4 linked regions of the Caenorhabditis elegans genome follow. The protein of the gene in region 2 purifies or fractionates together with the protein of the main gene of each other region. This does not show direct contact. Each region holds a gene or a part of one and is shown on either strand. Other genes may lie near its edges.

Evidence for each region.
Region 1: the proteins of pold-1 (region 2) and pro-3 fractionate together in Caenorhabditis elegans (co-fractionation; one large-scale study listed by BioGRID). This does not show direct contact.
Region 3: the proteins of pold-1 (region 2) and top-2 fractionate together in Caenorhabditis elegans (co-fractionation; one large-scale study listed by BioGRID). This does not show direct contact.
Region 4: the proteins of pold-1 (region 2) and crn-1 fractionate together in Caenorhabditis elegans (co-fractionation; one large-scale study listed by BioGRID). This does not show direct contact.

The regions. Positions count from the first base shown.
Region 1 is NC_003283.11:19,115,384-19,120,370, reverse strand, and holds the start of pro-3 (Protein SDA1 homolog), read left to right. Parts: upstream 1-1,958; 5' UTR 1,959-1,966; coding exon 1,967-2,155; intron 2,156-2,537; coding exon 2,538-2,744; intron 2,745-4,987. Other genes in the region: bed-1 (BED-type domain-containing protein), read left to right, coding at 632-748; Y39B6A.13 (RsbRD_N domain-containing protein), read left to right, coding at 1,011-1,047, 1,091-1,230, 1,280-1,492, 1,542-1,703, 1,754-1,828. UniProt on the Caenorhabditis elegans protein: Required for 60S pre-ribosomal subunits export to the cytoplasm. Required for normal somatic gonad development and for regulation of germline development and proliferation.
Region 2 is NC_003283.11:12,039,830-12,045,886, reverse strand, and holds pold-1 (DNA polymerase delta catalytic subunit), read right to left. Parts: upstream 4,332-6,057; 5' UTR 4,278-4,331; coding exon 4,191-4,277; intron 4,111-4,190; coding exon 3,862-4,110; intron 3,817-3,861; coding exon 3,445-3,816; intron 3,402-3,444; coding exon 3,268-3,401; intron 3,221-3,267; coding exon 2,491-3,220; intron 2,446-2,490; coding exon 1,432-2,445; intron 1,386-1,431; coding exon 937-1,385; intron 892-936; coding exon 681-891; 3' UTR 540-680; downstream 1-539. Other genes in the region: F10C2.5 (alpha-1,2-Mannosidase), read right to left, coding at 23-455; Protein kup-1, read left to right, coding at 5,021-5,110. UniProt on the Caenorhabditis elegans protein: Possesses two enzymatic activities: DNA synthesis (polymerase) and an exonucleolytic activity that degrades single stranded DNA in the 3'- to 5'-direction.
Region 3 is NC_003280.10:11,873,451-11,881,124, reverse strand, and holds top-2 (DNA topoisomerase 2 top-2), read right to left. Parts: upstream 5,978-7,674; 5' UTR 5,969-5,977; coding exon 5,869-5,968; intron 5,822-5,868; coding exon 5,485-5,821; intron 5,432-5,484; coding exon 4,699-5,431; intron 4,666-4,698; exon of another isoform or gene 4,571-4,665; intron 4,570-4,570; exon of another isoform or gene 4,509-4,569; intron 4,495-4,508; exon of another isoform or gene 4,423-4,494; intron 4,354-4,422; coding exon 4,111-4,353; intron 4,061-4,110; coding exon 1,421-4,060; intron 1,373-1,420; coding exon 969-1,372; intron 928-968; coding exon 822-927; 3' UTR 537-821; downstream 1-536. Other genes in the region: npp-3 (Nuclear Pore complex Protein), read left to right, coding at 6,432-6,566, 6,614-6,965, 7,026-7,117, 7,167-7,371, 7,526-7,674. UniProt on the Caenorhabditis elegans protein: Control of topological states of DNA by transient breakage and subsequent rejoining of DNA strands. Topoisomerase II makes double-strand breaks.
Region 4 is NC_003279.8:3,480,052-3,485,001, forward strand, and holds crn-1 (Flap endonuclease 1), read left to right. Parts: upstream 1-1,945; 5' UTR 1,946-1,978; coding exon 1,979-2,068; intron 2,069-2,412; coding exon 2,413-3,120; intron 3,121-3,911; coding exon 3,912-4,063; intron 4,064-4,115; coding exon 4,116-4,314; 3' UTR 4,315-4,449; downstream 4,450-4,950. Other genes in the region: Y47G6A.9 (DNA-directed RNA polymerase III subunit), read left to right, coding at 1-177, 459-643, 1,134-1,298. UniProt on the Caenorhabditis elegans protein: Structure-specific nuclease with 5'-flap endonuclease and 5'-3' exonuclease activities involved in DNA replication and repair.

The sequences.
Region 1 (4,987 bases), 7.1 Mb from region 2:
AGATTTTGGGCGCTGCTAAGACTACAAACTACAAGTTTGGGCGCTGCTAATTCAATTTTGGGCGCTGCTAAGACTACAAACTACAAGTTTGGGCGCTGCTAATTCAATTTTGGGCGCTGCTAAGACTACAAACTACAAGTTTGGGCGCTGCTAATTCAATTTTGGGCGCTGCTAAGACTACAAACTACAAGTTTGGGCGCTGCTAATTCAATTTTGGGCGCTGCTAAGACTACAAACTACAAGATTTTGGGCGCTGCTAATTCAATTTTGGGCGCTGCTTAGACCACAAACTACAAGATTTGGGCGCTGCTAATTCAATTTTGGGCGCTGCCAAGACTACAAACTACAAGATTTTGGGCGCTGCTAATTCAATTTTGGGCGCTGCTAAAACTACAAACTACAAGATTTTGGGCACTGCTAAGACTACAAACTACAAGTTTGGGCGCTGCTAATTCAATTTTGGGCGCTGCTAAGACTACAAACTACAAGATTTTGGGCGCTGCTAATTCAATTTTGGGCGCTGCCAAGACTACAAATTACAAGATTTTGGGCGCTGCTAATTCAATTTTGGGCGCTGCCAAGACTACAAACTACAAGTTTTTGGGCGCTGCTAACCCCATTTTTCTTGCAGGAAGACGCCATGACAACATATTATCGAATGAAATCTAGAAAACTGGAGCTGGAAATCAAAAAATTGGAACGAGAACTCGGCGAGGAGCAAGATGAGGCCCAAGAGCACGAAGAATAACCAATTTTTAATCTATTTTCCACAAAAGTTTATCCCGATTTCTCTTTTATTGATTTTCTGTACAATTTTCTCATCCGAAATAAATCAATTTTTTTTAATATTTCATTGAATTCAGCGGAAAATCAATAAAAAATAGAGTTTCCCGATTAATCTGATTTAAATTCCCACGCAACGACGCTCCGAAATCCCGCCAACGCGCCTTGTTTACCGTAAATCGACACTTCATTTTTCGACGAATTTCTCTGATTTCTCACCTATTTTCATGGATATTGCCCCCATTTTTCGTGAAATTTTCGATCGTAAGTGCTTAAAATGATTGAAAAATTTAATTTTTGATTTTAGAATTCAGTTCTGACAATATATATCGCTCATGGCACAAAATATCCCAGGAAATTCGAAGCGGCGATGAAAAAGAGCGCGTTTTCCGGTTGATTGTGAAGATTTCGATGCAAAAACTTGATACATATGAAGCTGGCAAGGAGGTGAGTGTGAAATTCATCAAAATTTGAAGAAAAACGTCAAAATTTTCAGGTAAATCGTGAAAATCCGCAAATTTCGGCGCAATTTCCCGATTTTCTCTTCAAATTTCTCCACGCTTTCCAATTTCTGCCGTCAGATCAGCAAACCTTTGCGAATTCCATGTTCTTGCTGAAAATAATCGATTTATTCGGTTCGGAATGCCCGAAAATTATAAATTTCTCTGAAATTTCATATATTTCGAGGCTTCTCGAGCTTGCCACTAACGTAAGTGGTGATTTTTTGCCGAAATCTTTAATTTTTGAGCTAATTTCAGGTATTATTAAAGGATTTATTCGAAAACTCGGTGAATTTATACCCAAAAGACGGGAAATTCAGGAAAATCGGCGCCCGGGACCTGCTCGACGGAGTTGTGATGTCAGAAGAGCCGGAAGATGGGAAATATAAAGAAAAATCGTTTTTAAAGATGAAAACGAAGGTTTTAATCGATTTTCTGAAGGAAAAATGAGTAAAAATTCGAATTTTCAGCTAATGGAGCTCGAGCCACGTGGAAATTCGGATTTTGAGCGGAAATATTTGGATTTTGAATCTAAAAATGTGTAAATAGTACTAAAATTTTAATAAAACGGGTTTATTTATTGATTTTATCGTCTTTTTACTGGTTTTCAGCCAGAAATCTTACTTTTTCCACTGTTTTCCTAATTTTTCAACCTTAAACTCCACACATTTTCAGCCAAAAAAATGGGTAAAGTGTCAAAATCACCCGGAAAGGGCGAAAAAAGGATCGGAAAAGTCGGCAAAAAAAATGGAAAAAGCAATGCTCCGACGGAGGGCTCCAATTCTGGAAAAGCTTCACGCTTCACAATGTCCGAAAGGAATTTGGGATTGATGCAAGAAATTATTCGAAAAGATCCGGAATCCTATAAAGAGGTGCGAAATTCGAGAAAAAACGAGAAAATTCGCGAATTTTGGGTTAAAATTGAGTAAAAAACGACGAAAAATTCGATTTTGGGCGCTGCTAAGACTACAAACTACAAGATTTTGGGCGCTGCTAAGACTACAAACTACAAGATTTTGGGCGCTGCTAATTCAATTTTGGGCGCTGCTAAGACTACAAACTACAAGATTTTGGGCGCTGCTAAGACTACAAACTACAAGTTTTTGGGCGCTGCTAACACCAAATTTTGCCAATTTTCTGCTAAAACATCACTTTTTTCAAATAAAAATTAAAAATACATACATTTTTCGACTACAAACTACACTTTTTCATGAAATTTATCGATTTTAGCTCTAATTTATTAATTTTTTGCAGGAATTCCTCGAACAATTCAACTATTTCGTTCAAACAATGAAACTTCTCCACTTGCAACCCGAACAATCTCGTCAAGAAATGCAATCTCTCGTCGATTCGGTGCTTTTTCTGTCCGGATTGGCGAAACATTACCCGAAAGAGTCGAAACAATTCTCCGATAGTCTTTTTGAGCTTTTGAGAGAGCAAGGAGCTGGTTTGGATCCAGAAGTATGTGGAAAACCGAGGAAAAATGCGAAAAATTGATAGAAAGACAGGAATTTTCATCGAAAATGCGCCCTAAATCGATTTTTTCTTCATAGAGTGCTCAATATTTTGGGAAAAATTCGGAATTTCTGCCGAATACTTAGATTTTGGCTCAAAAATTCAGAAAATACTGCGTTTTTTCACTAAAAATTGCGAAATTGTTTCAAATTTCCGAAAAAAGGAAGCAAACATTCAAAAAACCAGAGAAAATTAAAAATTTCTTTATAAATTTCTTTTATTCTGAAAATTTCCAGAAAAATCAATAAATTTTTAGTAGAAATCAATGAAATTTCTGAAAAATCGATAAATTTTCAGAAAAGTCGATACATTTTTAGAAAAATGAATGAAATTCGAGAAAAATCGATAAAATTCCAAAAGAATCGATAAAATTCAAGAAAAATCGATAATTTTACTGAAAAAACGATAAATTTAAATCTATAAAAATCAGGAAAAATCATAAAAATTCGAAAAAATCAATAAATTTTCAGAAAAATCAATAATGTTTCAGAAAATTCGATACATTTCCAGAAAAATCAATAAAATTTTAGAAAAATCAATAAATTCCCAAAAAAATCGATAAATTTTCAGAAAAATCAATAATTTACATTTTTGGAATTTTCCGAAATTTTTTGGCCAAAAATTGAACAATTTCAATGTTTTTCTAATTAAAGATCCAATTTAAAGCGAATTTCCGCATTTACTGTTGGAAAATTTCGATTTTTTCACCGAAAAAGTGCCAAAATACCAGAAAATCCAGTTAAAAATTCAATTTTTTCACCTTAAAGGTGGTGTAGTCGAATTATTTTTATCGCCTTATTAGACTCAAAATTGTCTAAAAACACCGAATTAATGAAACTTCTTGAAAACTTTTTAGAAAAAAGTTATGATGACTCAAAAAATGGTCTAAAATTCGTTAAAATCGGAAATTTGACTTGTCAAGCGGCTGAAAACTATTTTTTTTGAAATTACCGTCAAATTTTGAGTATACAAGTTGATTATCTTGTGTTTTCAACTTGATTAAGGTATTTAAAAGCAGATGGACAGCGAGATTTTCAATTGTTTTAAACAAAAACTCGCCGTCCATCGACTTTTAAATACCTTAATCAAGTTCAAAACGCAAGATAATCAACTTGTGAACTTAAAATTTAACGGTGATTTCAAAAAAAAATAGTTTTGAGCCGCTTGACAAGTCAAATTTCCGATTTTAACGAATTTTAGACCATTTTTTTGAGCTGTCATAACTTTTTTCTAAAAAGTTTTCAAGAAGTTTCATTATGAAATTCGGTGTTTTTAGACAATTTTGAGTCTAATAAGGCAATATATAAAAAATTCGACTACACCACATTTAAAGGTGGACTACGCTCAATGGGAAAATTGCTTTAAAACACGCCTATGGTACCACAATTACCGAATATCATGATAAAAAAAATTCAAGATTTTATATGATTTTTTGAAAATTGGAAAAATCACAGTTTTCACCCAATTATTTTTGAATTTCCCCCCCCCCCCCCCCCAAATTGGATTTGTTCGGCGGAGCGCGCTTGCATTATTTTTATTAATTTATTTTATTTATTCTCATTATTTCACTGATTTTCTTCATTTTTTGTGTTTTTTCCTCGGAAAATGATGGAAAGAAATAGGAAAAATGCGAAATGTTTGTTAAAAGTAATTGAAAATGAGTAAAACTGTGTGTAAATATACTAATTTCGGGCTTGTTGCCGTCGGAACACAGAATATCACGGTTTTACGCATTTTCAATTGCTTTTTAACAAAAACATTTCGCATTTGTCCTATTTATTTCTTCCATTTTCCGAGGAAAAAACATAGAAAATGAAGAAAATCAGTGAAATAATGAGAATAGATAAAATAAATTAATAAAAATAATGCAAGCGCGCTCCGCCGAACAAATCCAATTTGGGGGGGGGGGGGAAATTCAAAAATTATTAGGTGAAAACTGTGATTTTTCCAATTTTCAAAAAATCATATAAAATCTAGAACATTTTTTTGAATTTTTTAATCATGATATTCGCACTGCAACTTTTTCCTCACGAGGGACGAGGAAAAGGGGTTTCTAGGCCATGGCCGAGGGGCCGACAAGTTTCAGCGGCCATTTATCTTGCTTTGTTTTCCGCCTGTTTTCTTTCGTTTTTCACAGTTTTTCCCGTTTTTTCTTATTAAAACTGATAAATAAATATTTTTTGCAGATG
Region 2 (6,057 bases):
TTCCTTGTGAAATTTAAATTACCTTTATGCCTTCCCGCTAGCATATGTGCAGATATTAATCCGCCAACAACTCTGATATTCGTCTCGAAAACAGAAACATTCACATTAGCATCATCACGAGCTTTCTCAAGAACAAGTGACACTGCTCTTCGGAATTCGGTTGTATTTCCCATCACCAGAAGAGTATCTAGAGCATCAATTAATGAAAGAGAGAATGATCCCCAGGTGTCTTGTCCAACGCATGTTATTGGTTTCAGTTCATCTAGTGGAAATGCATGATCCAAATATCCGTTGTAGGCGTGGTAGAACATTTTTTGAACTTTTTCTCTATAAGAATCAATAACTGATGGAGTGAATCTTATTGAAGACTTTTTATTATCGGGAGCTTCGGAATCATCTGATGCTTGAATAATTGACGCTAATGCTAAAAAGAATATTGCTTTTCGAGTGATCATCTGAAAATTGTGGTATTTTAAATTCAAATTTAATATATCAGACAAGTATTTTAAGCGATTATCGCTTACAAAAAAGTTTAAAGAATTAAAAACATATGTTTTAATCATCAACGCGAGTTTATAAGATAACCAGTAATAAAGAAAAATGTGTGATGAGATGAATAGTGTGGTAAGATCATTCACAGTCAATAATAATTAGACAAATAAACCGGGATCATAATTAATTCATTTAGTAGGTGCCTGGAAGCAAGGATCTCCAAATCGTTCGATGACGGCACTTGCCTCCGATAGCTCGTTTCGAACTTTTTCCCTCATATAGTAGATCGGACAGTCTCGAGCCGAGCAATTCACTTTGTCTTGCATAGTCTTTGCACAATTTTGGCATTCGGTCCAGAGGCGACCAAAATGGTTTTCAAGTTCGTGCATAGTGTTCATTCTGAAATGAAAAATATAGTAGAACAATTATTGCATTTCTAATTACCTAGAAGCAAAAATCGTTGGAAGCTTCGGCTCACAGTGTTTGCAAACTGCGTTCTCTGATTCTGCTCTTGGTAAAACACTCTTGCAACCAAGACAAGTTGCAGATTTCGTTGTGAACGCTGCAAGACCTCCAACTTTACTCTGAACGACTGTACGAACTCTTGTATGTTCTCCTTCCACCAGAATCTTTTCTGCTCTATCACCCAAGATGGGCTCGAAAATTCTGGCAAGTGGTTTGGCGAGTTGATTAGTCAAGTAGTGTTTGGTGTCCAATGGAATGTTATTTTGAAGTACAAAAGTTGGATCTTCAGCTCGTTCGTATGCCGGAACATTTTTTGCAGCAGCGACAAAAACATATGGAACTCTATCTCCAAGTCTTGGTGCACTTCCAGCGTCTCTTTTCTTCATACGAGCCGCCAACTCAACGTGAGCTTGCTTTGCTTGATATTTCTGAACATAATCAATTAGTTTCGTAAGGTTTTGAAATCGAACTTACATCTCCAGACTTTGTTAATTCCTTACTGATAATCAACAATGAGATATCAATTTTATTGCAGAGCAAGTCACTAATTGTCCGTTTCGCAAAATCCAAAGCAGATTGTTGATCTCTTTCTATTAGTAATTTCTCGAGGCAAACACCGAGAACTTTTGCAACCAGAGGGCAGTTATCACGGCGAACAGTTTCTAATCCTTTACAATCCATCTTGTCATGAACATCCGGTTTAGTGAAGTAAAGGCCAGCGTATCTCTTTTTGTTAATAAGTAAATATGGGGAGTAAACTTTCTCGAATTCAAGTTTGATCGGCGGAGTGAAAATCTTGCTGACTTCTTTAGCAGCATCGAGTCCAATTTCCATTGCTTGAGCTACAGTTTCGACACCGAATTTCACCATTACAGAATCTGTATCGCCATAAATAACTTTCGCATCTGCTGGACATTTTCCATCGAGAGCTCCTTTTTTGTAAATTCTCTCCACTTCGAGTTTCGTCATGTCAATCATTTTTCTTCCGAAAGCTGTAACTGATTGAGAAATCTCGAGACATGGCAACTTTCCAACAGTTGCACCAGTGAAACCATAAACAGAATTTGCAGAGATTTTAAGCGCCAATTGTCGTCCATTGTAAACCATTCTTTTGAACTCGTCTTTCTCGTTTTTCATATCGTTCTTCGCTCGTTTTCTTGCAGCCAGAATATCCTCGAGAATCTCGGGAAGAAGCCCACGGCGCTTAGATTTGGTTGCAAAATATTGGCCAGATGGTGTCCGAATATAATCCTCATTCTCAACTCCTTGTGGGGATTTTAAAAGTGTCGTGTAACAGAGATTATGAGCAATCATAATGGATGGATATAGAGAAGCGAAATCAAGTGTTGCAATTGGTTCATTGTAAAATCCTCGAATCGGATCAATGACAGTAGCACCTTCGTATCCTTCACCATCCCCAGAATTGGCTTCAATTACCGGTAAGAAGAAATTGTTCTGCTTACATCTTCGTAGCATCATTGATAGAATCTACAACAATTTCAGTATTATAATTTAAAATATATTTTGATTTACCTTGATTTGTTGACCTTTTGTCAGTAAGAAATTCATAGGAACTCCGGTGACTCTAGCCATTTCGATGTAATTAATAATTGACATTAATTTATCAAGCAGACGAAGAGGAAGATATGCGTCTTTCAAACAATATTGAGCCAATCGCCTCCTAGTTTGTTCATCTCCTCGTTGTAAATCAGGAATAATATTATGTTCCACATCTTCTTTTTGTTCGGATAAAAATTGATATGAGACACTATTGAGTGTATAACTTCGGAGTTTGTAATCCCGAAGTACAACTTGAAGTACATCAAAAATAATTCTTCCGTGAATATCGATACTCTTGTTCACTCGACTTCCCATCTGTTTCGATGATATTGCAGCATCTCTTACAACTGAGCCTTTTTCTTTCTGACGACCAAGATGAGAAACTTGTGGCAGTGATAGAACTTTAGCACGATCCAGAATGTATGGAAGATCAAAATTGAGAATGTTATATCCAGTGATAATGTCGGGATCCACTTCACGAACAAATTCAGCCCACTTTTCGAGAAGAACTTTTTCATTCACACATTGAATGATATTTGAACCGACGACCGGTGCACATGTTCCAAGAACGAAACAATTACGAACAAATGGTTCTGCTTCACCTTCGATTTTCACAAGATTAGCTATTTGAATAATAGGATCTTTAATTGCTTCGGGAAACACTCCACGTCGACCAATACATTCGATATCCAGAGACAAAGTACTAAAAAAGTTATTTTTTCAAAAGTAAGTTCAAACTTTCAAACTTACCGAATAGGAGCAATTCCAGCCCATTCACCATCACTTTCATGAACAATCAGGTTTTTGACCGGAACTGTGACTTCTATTTGACAACGAGACGACTTTTCACTGTTTGAAAGAATTCGGCACTTTCCAGCAGGAATCTGAAATCATAAAGAATTAAAAAAAAACTAATATTGTCAAAACCTCAATCCAGCCACATCCAACAATATTCGTTTTCGCCAAGAACATGACAATCACATTAATATTTGACTCGTATAAATTCCCAACGTTCACAGGACCCTTTCCCATCAAGTTAACTCCATTTTTCAATTCCATTCGCGCTTTGTGAAGAGCTTCTGTAGATCCTGACACCTTGACAAAAGGAACTTTCGTATCAGCACCGCGGAAGTAATAAAGATTCTCTCCGTGAACTATCTCCACATGAACAAGATTATCAACTACTTTTCCAGGCAATTGAGCTTGACCGCTACCACCTCGGCGTTTTGCTGCAGCAACCATATTGCAAATTGCAGATTGTGCAGTTCCAATGTGCTCGACACCGAATCCTTGTGGTGCCTGTAAGAAATATTACCAATACTTATTTTTTAAAGCTTAGATTACCTGGAAATAAAAATGTGGAAAGTAGTCAGTCACAATGACACAAATCGAATTTCCAGATTTGGTTACACCATACAACTTCACATTTGTTCTGTCGTAAGATGTTGCAGAGCCGTCTTCATGATACGTTTCGACCTCTAAGATCTGACACGCAATGCTTTTGCTAATTCCGAGATCTTTATCGACTGCTGGCCTGGCCCATCCTGTTTTATCAATCGTTGGTACAGATGGAAGTTCATTTTCGAATCTTGACTGAAAATAAATGGTTAGTGATCATTAAAAATAAAAAATGCAATTTTTAAAAGCTTGAAATCATAATATGAAAAACTTACAACGTAACACTGCTCGAATTCGTCACTTTCACGCTTTCGCTTCACTTCTGGTTGAAACGAGCTCCCGCCAGGACGCTTGGAGGTCATTTCTGATAAAACTCAGCATTAGAACAATAAATAAACTATGAAAGTAGAAAGAAATTGTTTGTCAAAATAGTAATGTAAACGTGCTCAAACGAAACGCCGCGAATCGTTTTTTTGTCTGAACAAACGTTTAAAGATTTAATAGGGAGAGAATTAAGGCGATTAGGTGGGAATTTAAAGTTTCATAACATCGAAAATCCGTTTAGATTGTGATAATCAATAAATAAAACAATAAAATAAGAATTGAAAGTCAATTTTTTTTATTTCCAAATCTTTTCGCTTTGTTTTGCCGCGCATTTTGGGTAGCGAATGTGCGCTCCACTGCAAAAACATTTCTACCGCGCTGTTTGAAATCTGTTTTTTGGGCCAATCGATTTTACGGTTTTGTTTGGAAGCGTTTTTCACTGAGAAAAACCTGGCCACTATTTCCTCGCATTCTTTTATATGTTTTTTTTTTCGAAAAATCAAGCTAATGCGCTATGATAAATTTGTATTACCTTATTTTGTTCAATCTCGACTTTTTGCTTTCAGCTCTCGAGTTTTATTGCGCGAAAAGCATATTTACCGTCCTTTGAACATTTTCTACTCGTTTAAAATAGTTATTGTTGCGAGATATATTGAACGCCTTCTTCAAACTCTTTTCGATCATTGAAAAATATATTTATTCATTGTTGAACTTTTCTCCCTTGTCTTCATTGTGCATAACAGTTTAAATGTATCTAAATTTTATTTATTTCAGCAGAGACATGGACGACGAGCTCGATTATGGATCGGATCACTCAATACACGGCGACGTTAGAGAAGATCTGAGTGACAGCGAGCTTCAACTACCGAAGGTGAGTAGTTTTCAAGATAAATCTGTTTAAAATATTACGTCTGAAATTTTTATAAATATTTCGATATTATCAAAGTGAGAAATTGCGAATTCAAATTTGACTACAAAGAGGAAGATGCAAGATGATCGGCTCGTTTTTTTCGAGAGCGTTTTGTTTGTTTGAATTGGGAAACTTTTGATCGTTTTGCTGGAGTCAAGTTTAATGACGCAATTCTTCATTTTGAAAATATCGCATAAAAATTTAAATAGTTCAAGCTTTTTCTTCCAGTGATCTCTGCAAAGTATAGTTCTGGTTACAATCTAGTGAAATTCCAGGGTTTAAACTTTAAAACTTCCATAGCTTGGCTGAAGTTTTGTACTTGTGTGGACCTGACTTCAAGATGAAAGTTGCCGTTTGACTCGCTTTGTCTAGAAAGTGAATTTGCTTTATTTCTGTGAGAGTGAGCGTTCTAAAATGACATTTTGTAACACGTGGAAGAAATGTAGGATCGGCCACTGAATTCTCCTTCATCTGTAAAGAATTATTAAAAAGTATGTCGTGTCAATTCATTCTGGACAGTCCATTCTATAACCCACGAACGAGCGACTAATTACTTCATAATTTAAGCCGACTTGTTGACACGACACACTGGCGGTCAGTATTATCCAGAGGATGAGGTTGCTGTGTAATTACAGCGTGTTCTTAGTCTCTCTCTCTTTCTGTCTTTTTCATCCTCATCTCTCACATACAGACGCGAACATACACAAAACGCCCGCAGGTAATTGAACACAAACAGCCTGGTGGTTAAGGTAGTGACCGGGACAACGATGACGACGTCCGGAGGAAAGTGATGGAAAAGACAGGAAAGAAACAGAGAAAGACTGTCGACTGCGGCGGCGGCGACGGAGAAGGAGAGCCCCTATTGTGCCCCTCTTCGTCAGGCCATTCATCGTGTGTCCTTGTGTTGC
Region 3 (7,674 bases), on a different chromosome or scaffold from region 2:
TTGACCCTTTCACTCGATACCGCCATCGGCCAAACTTCTGAGAATCAACTTATTCAAATTTCGTTCCAGTATTCAGCTGCTCATGCACCATGTGCCACGCTGGATGTGCTCGTTAGTCATAATATCCTCCACAAAGCAAGGACTATGACTAGAGACACATTCAGCTTGGCGCCGAATGCATTTTATTTTTAAATTTTATCTTTAAAAGTTTCCCTAATTTCTACATTTTTCTTCAATATACAATTGATTCTTCTTATCTGACTACCAAATCATCTCGAGTCTCCAGTTCTCCCGGGGAGGCGATTCCATGTGTCTCTCTAAATCTCATTGTTCGCCTGAATGTCTAAAATGTTCGACCTCAAAAACGGTAGAGGCCCAAGGACACGCACACACAGTGTGTGATCGATAGGGGAATAGAAAACAGTAGGAACAAGACGTTGGATGCAACGAAGAAGGACACAGACCGTTTACGACTTGTCATCGTCATTTCTCAAGCGACACAAACGATGAAGACCTGCATATAGGTTGGAAGCTTTGGAAATATAGGCATTTTCATTGCAAGAAGACTCTTCTCAATAATTCTTGAGACTCACATAAATAGAAAAATAACTTTTAAAAACAGTGAAATTAGGTAGGGGTAAATAATTTAGGCATAAGGGCGATAATTATATTACAGCAGTTTCCCTCATGTAAAAATACAAACTTAATATACGGGATGATTTGGGGGAGGATGGGGATGGTTGAGATCGTTAAAACGATTTTAAAATGATTGGAAAGAAAATAAATTAGAAACACTTAAGGAAGGTGGGAAACAAATTAATTTAATCCGAGTCGGAGTCGACGACGCGTCCCCTCTTCTTCTTTGGCTGATCCGAATCGGATCCTGAATCCACGTCGTAAGTTGGTGGCGCCTTGCGAGCTCTTCCGCTGAAATAATTACATTTTTTAAAAATAATTTTCAAACTAACCTCTTCTCTCTTGGAGCCACAACGAAGCTTTCGTCGTCTTCATCATCGGAACCAGCGGCCTTCTTTCCGTTCTTCTTTGAAGCACCAAAGAAATCGGTCACCGCCTTCGACTTGGGCTCGGCCGTCTTCGGAGCAGCCTTCTTTGGAGACGGCTTTTTGCTGGTGGACGGCTTCTTCTCAGCTTCTTCATCACTGTCGCCGCCAGACAGATCGCTGAACTCGCTCTTTTTCTTCTTCGGAGCAGCTTTCTTCGCTGGAGCAGGCTTCTTTGCAGGAACTTCATCATCATCTGACAAATCGATAACTTCCGCTTTCGCAGCTCCTTTTCCAGTACGAGGTTTTGGCTTTGAGACGACATCCTCACGCTCCACACCGTCATCGTCCGAATCGAAATCGATTCCTTCCTGCAAAAAATATTTTAGAAGTTGAAGAAATTACAGAGGAAATCTTACATCGAACTCCACGTCACTTTCCTCTGACATGTCAGAGTTGAAGCCGTCGCTTTTCTCCTTCTTCGCAGTCTTCGGAGCAGCTGGAGACATGAACTTTTTAATGTCCTGGCCTTCCTTTTTCACCTTCTTTGGTTCTTTCGGCTCCTTTGGCTCTTTCTTGACGCGTTCCTTCTTTGGCTGAGACATCTTCTCATATTTGGCCTTGGTTGCAGCATCCAACATCGGCTCAATGCGCTGTCCATCTTTGGATGGAAGGACTTCCGTGCACACATTCTTCTTGGGTCCACGTCCGGTCTTTGCGTCGGCAGCAAGCTTTTTGGCGGCATTTTTGATGCTGGCATCTTGATCAGCTTTCTCGCGAGCCTCCTGTTTGTCCAACTCAGACACGAAGTTGTCCAGATCCTCATGCCAAAGATCTTGCCAGGTCTTCTTCTCGATAACTCGAACCTCAGCCATCTTCTCCTCCGATTCCTTGATGAGCTTATTCTTCTCTTCTTCCGAAAGCTTGATGAGAGCCATTCCGACAAGGTAATCGTAGTCTGATAGCTTGGTTTCAACGGCCTTCGCAGCAGAGGAAATGGCTTCGTCCTCTTCGACGGCGACAGCAGCTAGATCATCTTCGTCCAGCTCGATCTCTCCAGATTCACGAAGCTCTTTGAGTTTTTGCTCCTCCTTCCACTTCTTCACTGGATCAGCATCGAACTTCATCTTGATCAAAACATCGACAATCGCCGCCTTCTTCTTGTTCTCGAGAACAATCTCGTTGTTGATCTTGGCGAGGATGAAACGAGCCTGGTTAGTGAGACGCTTGCTCTGAGCCTGAAGAACTCCGAGAAGGTACTCCTTTCTCTGTACGTACTTCTCTTGGCGACTATCGTAGAACTCTTGAGTAATCGCTTCTGGCGAAGTGTATGTACGAAGACATCCGGCAGCATCGAAAAGTACCATGCACGTAGTGTTGATGACAGCTTGGAGCTTGAAGACTTGATGAAGATCCTGACCGCGCTCCAATTCACGAAGTTTTCCCGGCGAGAGCTTCACGACGAACTTGACAGTTGTATCTGTGTGATACTCTTTGTAGTCGACGATAACAGGCGATTTCTTGTCCGAGCTCTCCATCAATCCTTCCAAAACCTTCTCTTTGTAGTCTTGAGTCCACTGTTTGATTGGCAACTCGGTGATCTCAATGGTGTTGTCATCCAGCACAGCAACTTCACCATAGCATGCAAATCGACTCGGGTCGATTTGAATGATCTTTCCGCGGAAGTTCTTGTACCATGGAGCTAAGGCTTTCTGTGGCTCGCCGGCGATAAGACGCTTGATGTTCTTGACCAGTTCACGTGGATTGTAATTAGGAATGTTCGTGGACCATCCAGTACCGATGCCTTGAGCTCCATTGACGAGTACCATTGGAATAATCGGGCAATACCATTCTGGCTCAATACGCTGATTTTCTTCATAAAGGAAACGAAGGACATTGTCATCGTGAGCCGGGAAGAGTGTACGAGTGACTGGCGACAGTTGAGTGAAGATGTAACGAGCTGAAGCACTGTCCTTTCCACCTTGGAGACGAGTACCAAACTGTCCGATTGGAAGAAGCAGGTTGATGTTGTTGGAGCCAACGTAATCTTGAGCGAGATTCACAATTGTTCCCATAAGCGACTGTTCTCCGTGATGGTAAGCAGAAATTTCAGCGACAGCTCCAGCCAATTGAGCTACTTTGACTTCACGCTTGTCTGCTCTCTTGAAGCACGCGAAGAGAACCTTCCGCTGTCCTGGCTTGAAACCATCCACAAGGCATGGAATTGAACGCTCGTTGTCGAGATTCGAGAAGAGGACCAATTCACGATTGACGAAATCTTTGAAGGTGACGAATCGAGTGTCCTTGTTGTAGAGATATTCTTCAGCAAGTCCCTGCTGCTTTCGGTCCTTCTTCTCCCGCATCCACTTCGAGAGCCAGTCTTTTCTCTCTTCAATCTTCTTCTTCGAGAAAGCCATGTCGACAGCGTTATCATCATCAGCTCCATTGTACTTGAAGCGGATACGATGACGAACCATGTCCAAGAAGTATTCCTTAGCTTCCTTAGAAGTCGATGTACCCAATCCCTTGTAGTACTTGATCTTGTACGACTTCCAGTTATCCGTATTCATTCTCCACTCAGAATATTCTGGGAGCGAATAGAAGGAAACTTCTTCTTTTCCTTTGGTGGCTTTGACAATTGGAGTGATGAATTCTTCTACGAAGTTCCGCTGAATGAGAGAAGGCCAGAAGTGATGGATGAAATTGATCACGAGTCCTTTGATGTGTGAACCGTCTTGATCCTGATCAGCCATGACCATCAGTTTACCGTATCGAAGAGTCTTGAAGTCATCTTCTGTCTCGTACTTCTTCTTGTATTGGAGTCCCAGAATTTTGATCATGGCATTGACCTCAGCATTATCGGCGATTTGTTTCATATTTCCTTCTCGGACATTTAGCAATTTTCCTCGAAGTGGGAATACTCCATATTTGTCGCGTCCAACGACTGAAAGTCCCGAAACAGCAAGCGTTTTGGCCGAGTCTCCCTCCGTCAGAATTAATGTGCATTGTTGGGAATTTTTGGTTCCAGCGTCGTTGGCATCTTCAAGCTTTGGAATGCCCTGAAATAAATATTAATTAAAACAAGGCCACGAATTAGATGAATTGTTACCTTCAGCTTGGAAGTCTTCGTCTTGGAGCACTTTTTGTTGAGGTCGTCCATTTGTTTGAAGCGAACCCAACTCATAACAGCATCGGTGATTCCAACACTTGAAGCCGCTTTGGAGAACTTCTCGCTGAGGACGCAGGTCGATCCGAACTGCTTCTGCTGCAGGGTCATAGTCTCTTTCGTCTGGGAGTCGAATGTCGGATTTTCGATCAAGCAATTCACAAAAACCCACATGTGATTTTTGATCTGAAAATTTTGATATAAAATTGAATATTTGGAAAATTTATTAGATTTGAATTCGCATTAGCAATTCCTCGCCTCAGATTCGCCTTTTAGTAATCACAAATCATCGGAAAGTTTAAAAATGTTGCGCCGCGCCTTTAGACACTGGATAAAAACTTTCTCCAGCGTCACTAAAGCGTCGCAATTTTATTTTTCACTTGGTGCACCGATACTTCAAAAGAATCGGTGAAATCTCTAGAAAAACCTTGAAAATTTTCAGATTTCTCTTATTATCGAGTCACCAAAGAGTTCATATAGCTATTTTGAGTCATCATTGGCGGTAAATATTTTAAATTCGACGAAATTTACCTGGAATGGCTTGATATTCATCGACGTCTTTGTGAGCTTCCGCTTGATCGAGTCGATGAACTTGGCGACCATCTGATCAGCCACGTAGTCCACGTGCCGTCCTCCTTTTGTGGTAGCAATACTGTTGACAAATGACACTTGTTGGAAGCCTTTTTCCGAAAGAGCCAAGGCGACTTGCCAACGATCTCCAACTTGCTCGTATGCGATCTTGAGGGGTTCTCCTTCATTGTTGAACTGCGAAGTGTACATTTGGACGTAGTCCTCGAATCCTTTGATTGGAATTCGTTTTCCATTGAGGAACACGGCGACTCCTTTACTGGATCCAGCCACATCATACGCACGCCGAGCCATCAAATGGCAGATGTCATCGTCCAGCTCCTTCATCTTGAACTTTGCCAGATCCGGCGAGAATGTGATCTTCGTGAAGTCTTCGTCGGTGCTCTTAACAATCTTCGGCTCCTCATCACGCGTCATGTTTTTGATCCACGTTTGCTTGAATGCACTTTTGTAATCCCGTGAAGACGTCTCCAGAGTGAATTTTGTGGAGAAGATGTTGCAAAGCTTTGCTCCATATCCGTTGCGTCCTCCCGTCACTTTCTTCTCATCGTCATTGTAGTTAGAAGATGTTAGAAGAGTTCCAAAAATCAGCTCTGGGACGTAGACTTTCTCCACTTTGTGCTGAGTGACTGGGATTCCTTTGCCATTGTTGTAGACAGAGATCTCATTTTTCTCCCTGAAAGAAAGCAAAATTAAATTAAATTCCTTTATGCTACGGTCTAAACTTACTTATTGATGGTGATCTTGATTGTGTTCATCTTCGGATCTCTCTGTTTGTTGTCAGCGGCATTCACAAGAATTTCATCATAAATCTTGTAGAGTCCCGGCACGTATGAGATGTCACGCTGCTCCAGCTTGCTCTCCTCCATGTTGTAGACCCACATCGGCGTCTTCTCGGTATGCTCGACCGAACCGATGTAGGTGTCCGGGCGAAGAAGAATGTGCTCGAGTTGGGACTTCTTTTGGTAGATATCCTCGATCGCCATTTGTTTCGAGCCACCACCTTTTTTGTCGATCGACGTGAACACATTGCGGTCCTCTTCAGTCATAACCATCGACTCGTTGGCTGAAAAGAAGCAAATTAGATTCAAGAAACTCTACAAATTAACCAACCATCATCTTTCTTTTTCTTCGGTGACGCCTTCTCCTTCTTTGGTGCGGTTTTCTTCTTGGGTGAATCTTCGATAGAGAATTCACTATCAGAGTCGCTCATTGTTAGAGATCTGGAAAAAGATGACATTTAATTTTAGGACGATCGGGAGAAAGAGAGAAAGAAACGCGGTGAATATTCAATAAACTTGAGGATGCGAAGAAAAATGAGTGAAGAGAAAAAGAACTAGCACACCAGTGGACATCACTGGACACTGAACACTGAATCGATGCAAGACAGCCGGCTAGAGAGCGCACAAAAAAACAACTGAGCGCGCCAAAATGAGCGTCCGATTCGAAATTGGCGGCCTAAGAGCGTCGGGTCTCGCAGCGAACGCGCGAAAAATACACAGCTGAAACGAGTGTTACCGTAGTTGTAGCCTCGAAATACGAAATTTAGTTTTTGTGTCTGCGTCTCTTACGGAAATGCATTGCGAGATAGAAGTTGTGTAATTTTTTTGCGAAAAAATTCAAAAAAAGTAACTTTTTGTTCTAAATAATGTTTTATTTATTTTAGAGAGCTCAAAATGTGGATTGAGATTCGTAAATTTTACGAACTCATCGTCTCCTTCACAGCTTTCGATGACGACCGAAAAATAAACGAGCTGTTCAACGAAATCGAGAAATACAGATGGCGATTGAGCAATATTCTTTTGAATCCGGTATGTTTTCCGACTGATGTTAGTGTAATAAACCTTTCTAATTGAAGAGACGAACGGGTAAAGATCGGGAAAAGCTGAAGCCAGGAAATGTGGAAATGGCAGGAGTGGAAGTTGCGCTAGACGAGGAAATCTGTTCGGAAGCACTCATTTTGTCGGATATCTTTCAATTAAATGAGCTGGAAGCTGTGGATTTGATTTTGGCCGGAGAAGCTCAAAAAATACATTTCGAAGGCCTCAACAGAGGATTAATCGCTGTCGTTTGCTACTATGATGCGCACAGGCTCCTAATCGCAACAATGCGCCAAATGCTAAAATGGGACCGAGAGGATATTCCTCAACGTATCAGCAAGTTCCTCAATAGCACATTCATCAACGAGGACGTGATCAAAAACCTTTTTCGTGGGTTTTCAAAAAATTATATTATCATAAATATTACTAATTTTTTTTTCCAATTTTCAGAACAACTAATCAATTTCACCGTTCAATCAGAATTTGCACGACTTCAATCTCCAGATGTCAACGGTTTAGGAGGCTCTAAACATCAGAAATTGGTACCGAATTGATTATAATTTTGGAATTCTTTCATAAAATTAATTTCAGGTCAGAAATGCCATTGAGGAGATTCGAAGTGAAGTAATTGGTTGCATTTCGATGATCTGTGAGATTCCGGGAGGAAACGCAGTTTCGATTTCAAATCATTTATTCCAAATTGTAAAGGCAGTTCCACCGGAGAAGCTCAGTTGTAGTAGCTTGACAGCCTGGATTTCTCTCGTTAAAATCACATCGAGTGAAGTGTTGTCTCAAGGTAATATTTGAAGATGGAGTAGCGATTTTTCTGTTTTTCTTTTGTGGTTTTTCTGTATTCGAGAATATTTTCGATTTTCTAAAGCAATTCTCGCTACTCCATCTTCATGCCTATACCCAAAAATCCAGTTACAAATCTGTTTGAGAGTTTACAGTTCACGATGCTCAACAAGTGCTCACAAACATGATCGCCCACATTCGGAATGAAACAGACTGGTCGGATCAAGCAATGTGCGGAACTCTACAGCTAGCATGCGCTGTTGCTCTGAAATCGATTGCCTCATCGCCATCAGATCATCTAGGG
Region 4 (4,950 bases), on a different chromosome or scaffold from region 2:
AACATGACCCCGTTCCACTTGAAATGACGACTGACATGCTCTACGTATCCCGTTTAAAAGTTGAACTTGATCAACGAATGCGTGATTCACAGTTCTTTATTGAAGCAGAGAAAGACGACGAAATTAAGCGTTATTTGGATAAATATTCGAATATTAAGAGGGAAAAGCTTAGCATTGGTACGGAAATCTAGGTGAAATTGTGTCTCAATTTCAGAAAAAACAAAAAAAAAATTTGAAAATTCAACTTTTTGGCTAAATGAGAAGAGCGGCCAATCAGCGATTTGCTCCGCCCATTTTTCAACCAATCAGATGGAATGGGCGGAGTTGGAAGATGCTGATTGGTCGGAGAGTTCGAGGAAATTAGCCAAAAAAAGATTGAATTTTTCTATTTTCTGTAGCGCTTTTTCTGAATTTAAGGCGATTTTTTAACCTTTTCAAATTCATAAAATCCATTTTAGATATGTCCCATATGCCGAATGAGCTCATTTGGCGCCGAGCTAGCTCGAAATCCAAGGAATCTTTGGCAAAACGACGAAAAGTCGCCAATGACGATTCGATGATCAAGGAGAAGTTGAAAAAATTGGAAGAAAAAGAAGCACAGAATAAGGATGATGATGATGACGATGAGAAGGCTGATAATGATGTAATAGATATTTTAATTTCAGATTTTTGACATTTTATATGGGACAGGGCATTTTTTAGCACTTTTTTTTCAGAAAAAATCGAAAAATAATTTTCAGAAAAATCGAAGTAAATAAGTAGAAGAAATGCACGGAAAATGACGAGAAAACTAAAAATCGAAATTTTTCGTTTTTTCGAGAAAAATAATCAAATTTTCAATAATTTCGGGTTATTCCTCATGAATTGCAAAAAAAAAATATTTTCTCATCAAAATTGGCATATCTTTTGATGAATCTAGAGTTTTCTCGTCCCTTTATTTCTGAAAATAAAATTTAATTTTAGTTGAAACATTTGGAAAACTGCTCAAAAAATGTTCGAAAGTTGGAAATTTCTAATTTTCAGACGATTTTTGAGTGGTTTTTCAATTGTTTCAACTAAAATAGGAGCTATTTTCAGATAAATCACTACATTTTAATGAAAATAATTGGAAAAAAATCATATCTTAATTTCAGAAAGACTCTGGCAGTGAAAAATCCGCGGCAGAAGAGGAGGAGAATCCATTATCAGATGATGACAATCAGGAGGAGGATAACGATTACATCTCGGCTTACTTTGATAATGGAGAAGGATATGGGGACGGCGGTAGCGATGATAATTTGGATGCCGATGATATTTAAAGAATCTCCGGACACTTTTTTTGTTGTTTTTGTTGTTTTTCTCTCAATTTTTGAATATCATTGTTAAATATATGAATTTATTTATTGATTTTCCCTTAAATTTAACCCTTTTATTCGTTATTAGCTTCAGATTTAACCAATTGGTTCAGAAAATCGGTTTTTTCAAGGAAAAAAGTGTCCAAATAATGATTACGCAATCGCGCTCCATGGACAACTAATTGAACGCACCGTTTTCCCGCCAAATTGAACGCAGCTCCGATATTTTTTATCCTTTCTTGGGGTTTTTTATAGTGAGAAACACAATTTTAAGCAAATATTTTATTGTTTTTAATCAATTTTAAACGAAAAATATATTAGAATTGTTAATTTATCGTTTCGCAATCTCATACTCATCTTATTTTCTCGAAATCTTGGAGAATATCGGGGGTTTTTCGTTTTTTACGTCAGGAAAGTGCGGCGAAATCCGTATAAATTCGGTGAAATTTCATGAATTTGACTGATATCGTTCGGTAAAACCTAAAAAACCCTATTTAATTGGAGAACAAAAAGGAAAATCGTGTTTTTTTTTCGAAATTCGCTGTAATTCGTTTCCTACCCCCGTTTTCCACTCAAAAATCCACAAACTTCCCAATTTCAGAATATTTCAGATATAAATTCACAAGGACTAACCCCACACCGCTATGGGAATTAAAGGACTCTCCCAAGTGATTGCTGATAATGCTCCCTCCGCGATTAAAGTCAACGAGATGAAGGCGTTCTTCGGAAGAACAGTACGGGAATTTTTTCCTTAGATTTGCAAAATTGAAGGTTCAAAAATTCGAAAAAATAATTTTTTAAAGCGAAAATCTCCAATTTCGTCTACTTTTCTGTGCGCCGCAGTCTGATTTTCATATTTTAAAATATTTTAGTCGTTTATCTCCTGCTATTTTGTTGATTAATGATTTATCGGTTCGACGCGATAAATCAGAAAAATTTGAAGATTTTCAGCTCTAAAATTGGCTCATTTTTACATAATTTTGAACATTTTGAAGAAATTTCCGGGTAAATGTCTTAAATTTCGACGAGTTTTGAGTCTTTACAAGCAAAAAAACAAAAAAAAATGTTTTTTTTTCAGGTAGCAATCGACGCATCAATGTGCCTCTACCAATTCCTCATTGCTGTTCGTCAAGATGGTTCCCAGCTTCAAAGTGAAGATGGAGAAACCACAAGTCACTTGATGGGAATGCTGAATCGTACGGTTCGAATGTTCGAGAACGGAGTGAAGCCTGTCTACGTTTTCGACGGAAAACCACCGGATATGAAGGGTGGAGAGCTTGAAAAACGTTCCGAGCGTCGTGCTGAAGCAGAAAAAGCGCTGACTGAGGCCAAGGAGAAGGGAGATGTTAAGGAAGCGGAGAAGTTCGAGAGAAGACTCGTAAAAGTCACAAAACAACAGAACGACGAGGCGAAGCGTTTGCTGGGATTAATGGGAATTCCAGTTGTCGAGGCTCCATGCGAGGCAGAAGCTCAGTGTGCTCATCTCGTGAAAGCTGGAAAAGTATTCGGAACTGTCACTGAGGATATGGACGCGCTGACCTTCGGCTCCACGGTTCTTCTCAGACATTTCCTGGCTCCAGTCGCCAAGAAAATCCCGATCAAGGAGTTCAATCTTTCTTTGGCTCTCGAAGAAATGAAGCTAAGCGTTGAGGAATTTATTGATTTGTGTATTCTTCTCGGCTGTGACTATTGTGGAACTATTCGAGGCGTCGGGCCTAAGAAGGCTGTTGAGCTGATCAGACAGCACAAGAATATTGAGACGATTCTTGAGAATATCGATCAAAATGTTCGTCGTTCGTAAAATGCCTATTTTATTATAAACGCGCTCCACGGCAAATAAATGCCCCGAACCATGGGTCTCGTTAGGTACTTGCCGGTGAAATCATAAATTCGAATTTTTCACTTAGTTTTGCCTTTTTTTTTAAATTAATTTTGGCATGAAAATCAATGGAAACAACTAAAAAAGCCGAAAAATTCAATAAAAAATTAGCAAATTTTGAACTTACGGTTTTGCCGCCAAATAGCTAACGAGGCCCATTATGCGTGCAAGCGTAATTTTTCGAGAAAAAAAAAATCGAATTTCCAATATTTTCCTGTCATTTTTCAATTTATTGGAGAAAAATTATTTTATTTTTCTCATCAAACTTTAAAAAAAGCTATATTGTTTCTCCTAAAGATTTATTATTGAAAAAATTATGAATTTGTTCGTTTTTCGATTTTTTCTCTGAAAAAAACTCGAAAAATTGAAAAAAAATAAATCGAAAGTTTTCAATGTTTTTTGTGAAAAAACTGACAAAAAAAAGCGGAAATTTTCAGTTTTGTCTAAAAAAATCGAAAAATTTCAATTTCCTACTAGAAAAAACCGAAAAATGGAAAATTTTCTTTTTTCTCTTAAAAAAAATCGAAAAATTTCACTTTCCTTCTAGAAAAAAACCGAAAAATCGGAATTTTTTAAACAACACTTTTGGCTCGAAAGCGGAGCCTTTTGAATTAGCAGTGGAGCGCGTTAACACATCGATTTCAAATTGGATTTTTCTGCGGATCTATAATATATCTAATTTCTAAAAAAAATTCCAGAAATACCCACCACCAGAGGATTGGCCATACAAGCGTGCTCGTGAGCTTTTCCTCAATCCAGAAGTGACAAAACCGGAAGAAGTTGAACTGACATGGAAGGAAGCCGATGTCGAAGGTGTCATTCAGTTCTTGTGCGGAGAGAAGAACTTCAAGTTTGTCCCCATGAACCTCATGAACTTCATCTAATTTTTCTTTCATTTCCAGTGAGGAGCGCATCCGAAACGCGTTGGCAAAACTGAAGACTAGCCGTAAATCTGGAACACAAGGACGAATTGACTCGTTCTTCGGAAACTCGACCAAGGTTACATGTGTGACAGCTGCGACAAAACGAAAGGCGGAGGAAGCTGAGAAGGCGAAGAAGGGAGCAAAGAAGGGTGGACCACCGAAGAAGAGAGCCAAGTAGCTCACACTAACTATTCAATTTCTTATTTGATTTTTGTGAAATATTGATTGAAACGAAATAAGGTTTTTATTTACCTTTATCCTTTTTTTAATGGAACACACAAAGCTAAGAAAACAATAAAAAATTTGGAAATTTTCAATTCCGTCAATTTGCCGATTTGCCCAACACCCATTTGCTGGAAGTTTTCAGGGTTTTTTATAAGACTGACCAATTTGGGAAATTTGAATTTTTCAATTCCGGGAATTTGACGATTTGCCGGAAAAAAATTTTGCGGCTTACCTCTGATGCATACTATTACGGGAACACTAAATTCTGAGAATGCGTATTGCACAACACATCTGACGCGCAAAATGTCTCGTAGCGAAAACTACAGTAATTCTTTAAATGATTACTGTAGCACTGTGTCGATTTACGGGATCTCGATTCTTGGCATGAATTAGTAAAATTATTATTTATGGATTGAATATTAAAATTTAGCGAAAAATGACGAAATAATACAAGAAACGGAGGAAAATTATAAATCGCTATCGATATTCAAAAAGAAATTATAAAACATTCCGAAAATCGAGCGCGTAAATCGACACAAACCGTACAGTAGTCTTTAAAAGAATTACTGTAGTTTTCGCTACGAGATAT